Linked DNA regions of Saccharomyces cerevisiae S288C. The protein of the gene in region 2 interacts with the protein of the main gene of each other region in a biochemical or structural test. Each region holds a gene or a part of one and is shown on either strand. Other genes may lie near its edges.

Evidence for each region.
Region 1: the proteins of AFT2 (region 2) and BOL2 form a complex in vitro, tested with the Saccharomyces cerevisiae proteins (2 studies listed by BioGRID).

Annotation. Positions count from the first base shown.
Region 1 is NC_001139.9:80,221-83,236, reverse strand, and holds BOL2 (Bol2p), read right to left. Parts: upstream 864-3,016; coding exon 501-863; downstream 1-500. Other genes in the region: ERMES complex subunit MDM34, read left to right, coding at 1-359; NIF3 (uncharacterized protein), read left to right, coding at 945-1,811; EDC1 (Edc1p), read left to right, coding at 2,051-2,578; Golgi transport complex subunit COG1, read left to right, coding at 2,872-3,016. UniProt on the Saccharomyces cerevisiae protein: Involved in the regulation of the iron regulon in response to decreased mitochondrial iron-sulfur cluster synthesis. May be involved in mitochondrial organization and biogenesis.
Region 2 is NC_001148.4:167,588-171,210, forward strand, and holds AFT2 (Aft2p), read right to left. Parts: upstream 1,752-3,623; coding exon 501-1,751; downstream 1-500. Other genes in the region: YIG1 (Yig1p), read right to left, coding at 2,183-3,568. UniProt on the Saccharomyces cerevisiae protein: Transcription factor required for iron homeostasis and resistance to oxidative stress. With AFT1, activates the gene expression in response to low-iron conditions, also called iron regulon.

The DNA.
Region 1 (3,016 bases), on a different chromosome or scaffold from region 2:
GCAACGACGACAATGCCAAACCAAGGAGAAGAAAGATCAAATGCAAAAAGACCCGCACACCATCGAACCTACAATCACAAGGAGAACAGGCTGTTGATGATAGTACTGCTATTGAAACAGTTACGTCCACACCGGTCCAAACACCGATACCCGAGCTTGAAGAACAATCTCCCCCATATTTGAAAACAACAGTATCGATAAGGGATAAATACGTTATACCAGAAAAAATATCGCTAAATTTGGACTCCAAGAAAGATACATCTAAAAAGAAACCGTTTTACTTCATAGGTTTGAACTCGCAAGAACCTTCAAATAACTGGAAATGGGGCATGGAGGATAGCCCCCCACCATATCATTAAATTAAGTTACATATCTAAGTACATAACTACACAAATACATACTCTCCGATGTAAATAACGTAAGAAAGCAAAATCGTCTATGCCAAAAAGATTCAATGCCGTCTCCTTTCGAAACTTAATAATAGAACAATATCATCCTTTTCATACCACAATCTTAGACCATTCCTCCTCAGTGTAGCACTTGCAGCTAAAGGCATGAATCTCCTGCAGCTCTTCTTTCACAGCCTTGTTCACTGCACGACTCCTCATTAGTTTGCTTTTACCTTGAAAGAAGTCGCTGACCACCACAATATCAAACGACTGACCACAACCGTACGAAAGATCCGTCACAATGATATGGTAAACTTGCGGTATGGCTGATTCTATCCTCTCGCGGAGTCCCTGTTCAGTAACGGGCATCTTATAGTGTCGTTGGCGCTTTGTTTCTCTCCACTGAGTTGTTAGGAAATGTGATTTTGCAAATTCGTCATTTATTTTCACCTTTTCAATTCTTTCACCTGTCATATATATGTATATATATAACACCGAAAAACTTATTCCAATACACAGTCGGAAGGAAACAGAACAAGAGTCCACCGAAACGCAATGAGCAGAGCTATTACTAGAGCACAATTGGACAAACTTGTGCGTAGCATTACCAAGTTCTACCCTCAAAAGTACGCAGACAAGAGCTGGGACAATACGGGTCTTCTCATCGATTGTTCCACTGCACAAGTCACCACTGCCGATGCAAACGCTAAAACAAAGGTCCTTTTGACTGTAGACCTCACGAAGTCAGTTGCTCAAGAAGCTGTGGATGCTAACTGCAACGTAATTGTTGCTTACCATCCTTTTATTTTCCCAAGCTGGAACAGATTAAGCCCACATACAAACCCACAACACGAGACAGCTATAAAGCTAATCCAGTACGGAATATCCGTATACTGCCCTCACACTGCCGTAGATGCCGCTCGTGGCGGTGTAAATGACTGGTTGGTTAGGGGTTTGAACAACGGAGAGAACGTCGCAAAGTCTTATGCCTTGGAAACTGTAAGTGGCGAAACTGACGACTTGATTGGCTACGGTAGATTCGTAGAATTCAATAAAGACATCTCTTTGGAGCAAATTGTCAAAAATGTCAAGCGTGTTTTACGGGTTCCCTATGTACAAGTAGCATCTCTTGCTGCTCCATCCGCATGGAATCAACTCAAAATCAAAAAAGTCGCTGTCTGTGCCGGGAGCGGTTCTGGCGTGTTTAAGCAACTAAAAGAGGACGTAGACCTTTACTATACGGGAGAAATGTCACATCATGAAGTACTGAAGTGGAAAGAAATGGGCAAGACCGTTATTGTTTGCAACCACTCAAATACTGAGCGTGGATTCCTTCAAGACGTTATGAAGGGCTTGTTGCAAGATGAGGGCCACGAAGTAGTCGTAAGCAAAATGGATTGCGATCCTTTGACTGTTGCATAGCTGCTAGTAATTATATGGCTATATAGGATATCACAAATACCATACGTACTACAGTTTTATCATCCGGCTGTTCGTGTAAAATGATGTTGTTGTATCGGATAGAGAAATACGGATAGAAAAGGTAAAAGTCTTCAAATAACAAGGACAATAACATACTCTGTATTGAAGACGAAGTACTCAGCAAAGCGTAACGTAATTACACTTAGCACACAAATATACTCACACAAATATTACAAGGCATGTCGACGGATACCATGTATTTCAACAGCTCCAGGCTGTTGCCATCGGCTGGCAGGAACAAGACAAATAATCTAATCAAACAAAAAACTAGAAATAATCGTGCGAGGGGAAATGCTGCTAAGAACGCCAATAATAACAACTATATCACAGATATACCACCTCCTCAAACTCTTCCTAACGGTCAGAAACCTAACTTCGGCCATTCTTCCAACAAGAAACCATCATTTAATCAAAAGAAGCACTCTCCACCTTCTTCCCCTTCCTCTACAACTACTTTAGGTAAAAAAAACAGACAGAATAATAAAGAAACGCCACGACAGAACAACAAAGATGATACTCGTTTACTGAGTCAGAACCTAAAGAATCTGCTTCTGAACCAGAAACAATCCCCGCATGGCTCTCAAGGGATAATACCAATGGGTTGTAATGGCAGTGCCAAAAAACTCAGTCACTCTTATGCAGGCTCCACTTTCGCCACTAATGGTCCAAGGGAGGCTAAAAACTTGCCCAAACCAAGTTTTTTATAATCACCCTTTAGAGAGACATTTTTGATTTTTTTTTTTTTTTTTTTTTTTTTTTTTTTAGAATAATGCATATTTTTATTTGATATATACCTATGTACCAATTATACGAATGCTTATGTCTGTTTTGGATCTGGTCATCCAAAGCAATTTCTCAGATGACAATTTTTTTTTCCTATTTTCTGTTACAGTTCATCATTATGCTGAAGAAAAATGAAACATGGCGGTGAATAATAAATAACACATTCGTACAACAAATCTTGTGGTAGAAAACCTAAAAAAAACCAATACGATAGAAAATGGATGAAGTCTTACCATTGTTTCGCGATTCTCATATTCCACAGATTAAAGATTATCAATTGGAGTTACAGAACGATTTGACTAAAACCAATGAGGCCTTCCAAAAGAATTTGCTAAAGAACTATAACAAGATCTTAAGCTTGA
Region 2 (3,623 bases):
TGCCCTAAATATCTTCTATACTACAATTCATTTTAATTCAATATCATATTTAAGTTGAGGGCATTTAGATCTTAGAGATTCATCTAAAAATAGGAGGGGTGATGTATAGAAAATGTTCGAATATCATTCCTCTGCTTTTTTCTATATGATTATTTCCTATATGAGCTTTTACTTACTGATCTCATGATCTCAGTGCAAAAATTAGGGGACCGGCACGCCTGAAAGTTTTTTAGATAATTGAATGTTGCGGTGCATTACCTATGAAAAGATGAAGCGCACGTGAACCATATTATAATCAACAAACTTGAAGAATAAAACTTTTGAGCGCATGAAGCCATGATATATCTTATTTGTATCGACATGCTTTAAGTCCTCCGTAGCTTTAAAAAGTCTAAGGTCCAAAATCCCTCGATGGTGCTGATATCACCATTATTCATGTCCATCAGATCTTGTCACATATTTAAACGTGATACCGTTTTAATGAGTTGAAAACTAAATAATTAATATTTTGATATTAAGGCTGGGTCAATAGAATTTAATTCATTAAAATGCTCATCGTTGAAATGAAGCAACGCTTCGTAGTTGTAGTTTAACATGCCAAAATTTTCGTTTCTCTCTTTGCCTAAGTTCGTAGCAATATCTGTATCAGCAGTTGGTGCGTTGCTTTTGGTATCTTTGGAAACTTTAATGATCTCATCTCCATAAGGAGCGTCTGTTTCCATAAAATTTGGTGAAGATGTTGTTGATTCTGACAGGGCTATATCCATTTTGCTTTGTGACAAGGGCCTCGTTGGTGTTGAAGGAAGTATACAAGAAGAGGACGAAGGACCTGGTGTAGGTTCTGTCAAAAGTTCCATCAGGCCTTGGTTGTAATTTTGGATGAAATTGTCGTTGCAAAACATGTTCGTAAAATCAATTTCGTTTAAGTTCGTTAAAGAATCTTCTTTCTCTATCTTTACACAGGAATTCCGCGTTTTGAAATTGTCTAAAAATCCGGTATCATGTAGATCCGCATCCAACTTCGTTTTCAACCTTGGCCTAGGTTTCGAATTATCCATCTGTCTGGATTTTATTTTAGAAACGGAGTTTTTATTTGTTTTGAGCAAATTTTTTTTAGACGTCAAAGGGGGGTTTGATAGTGGGAGAAAAATGTTATTGAAAGCTTCAATTTCCTTGGTTAACCCACAGTCACAAGAAATAATTGGTGTGACGAGTGGTAAGTTTAGACTTGCTTTATATTCTAATTCATCAAATGTTTTGATGGCTTTTTCGTCGTTCTTCTGACGAAGATTTTCCTTAAACTTTTTATAGTCATCCGTTTTAGTAATCAAATCAAATCTCAGCTCATGTGAATGTATGTTATTCATAACAACCACGTTCCACTTCTGTAACCGCACAGAGTAGGCTGCTCTAATTCTAAATGGACATGCATGGGATCTTGAAGAGGAACCTTTGGATTTAGGGTTCAACCCTACTTTCGATCGTACTGACCTACACTTAAAAGTAACTTTGCTACTATCTGATCTTTCGATGACTATATCTATTCCTTGAGGATAGAATATTTTCTGTAGCCACGGTTTAATCTCGTGCCTGTCCTCAAAAGACGGAACTGGGTCTAAATGAATAAGTTTATTTTGGTCTTTAGACATCATAGATGCTAGATTATCGGGAGATGCTGTTAACTTCATTTTCCCTGTTTTAGACACTGATATTGGCACAGATATTATGCTCTTCATCGACTTTGCTTTCATTTCTTGGGGGTCGCTTTCTCTTGATTAATTTGCGCCAGAGTTTCTGGTCACTACAACAAATTTTTTGAATGAGTCGTGTTCACTATTATGTATAGGTCCATCAGTTTAATTTGCACAGTTTTTGCCTTAATCAAAAGAAAATCAATTCTGACTAAAAGAAAGCCACTTTACCGATCTCGGCCCACGAAACGATTTTTTTTTTTACGGTGCTTTTTTCTTTCTTTTTTTTGTTCTTTCTATTTTTTCCCTTTGCTTTTCGCACAATACCGCTTACCGTCAATCGAATAATGAATGGCTCTGGTATCGTTCAATAAAATGAGAAACGTGCTTCCAGTTCAAAACCAAACAGCTCAGACAGGTTAAAGTGAAGAAGTTGAGATATATACAAATTAATGTCACTGTTATTTTTTTTATTTACATTTCCTTAACCTTTATTTAAGAAGAATTGTTTGAATGTTATTGTCATCAGTAAGAATTGTCAGCACTGGGCTATTTACAGAGGGACAGTTACCAACAAAGAGATCTTTGACACTCCTTATACCGTATTTGGCCCTAATGTCTGAGTAGCCCACGAACAGCCACCGTTTGAAAGATATAGAGTACTTGTATACCGATAACGCTGTTCCGTAGAGATGTTGCTCGGTTATAAAAATATACTTCCCATTGTTTGCTATCTGACGTCCTGTTCCTGAAGCATGGACATGAAGTTCTTGTGTCTTGTAAAATATTGGATAAACCTCGCTGTCTGAGACGGGTGGAGAAGAATTTGAATTCTCTATGGGGTCTCTTGTTGGAATGGACAGATATCTCATGTTGGTTTCGAGTAAAATGTGATTCGTTTTAAGAAGATAGTCGATCTTTTGAACGTCTTCGTCTATTTTAAGCATAAAGTTTATTTCCTTGTTTAGCGTGGAAGCATCCGATCCTAATAGATTCTTGCAGTGGAAAATCATATCATTTCCTTTGTATAAAGTAAACTGAGGGAAATTTAAAACGGACTTGACATTTGTGGTCGTGCGTAGATCTACAGGCAAATCAATGTTGGTATGGAAACTTTGAAAACTTCCATTGCTTTGTTGGTGATCTAAAGAAGTTATTAGCAGCCCATCTTTCAAACTAAAAGAAACAACGAAATGTGGCAACAAACCTGCCCAGACATTTAATATAGATAGGTGGCTTTGATGAGAGGAAGTTGAAGGATCCTTCAAAAGCAAGTGATTGTTTACGTTTCCGTTCAAGTCGCAGTTTAGCTTTAACAACTTTCCATTCTGAAATCCAACTAAAATTTGAATGGTGTTTGAATTATAACCAAAATTGCAGTCCATACATATTATTGCGTCCGATAGCAGTAAATTCAACTGCCCGTAAAATTGCTGCTTAATAAAAATCAAATGTTGGCCGTTAAAGTCATACAGCAGTAATTTTTTGTCCTCTGCTTGATTAGAATAAAAAATCCAGTACTTGCTATTGAAATTTCTAAAACTTTTGAAACTTTGTAAATCGTGGGTAGTAAAATAGTTATTAATCCGTACAAATTCCAACCCACGGTTACTTCGAAAAACATCTTCAAGTTCCTTTTCTTCGTCACCATCATCGTCTTCTTCAGAATAGTTTCCAACATCTCCACCATCCTCTCCGACATTGCTAAAGGTAAGCTGGTCGATATGTTCCTTTATCGTATCTGGAAGCTGTGGGTAATCATTATTCACCGTGTAGTTGCCATACTTGCTCGCCCGTTCGTCAAATACGTTCTGATATCTCGTGTGGTAAAATTGCACCCCCTTCCCATCCTGGTATATTTGCATAGGTATACCCATGATTTCGTTATGATTATTTTCTTTCTTGAGGGTGTTTAGCAATACATTATTATCC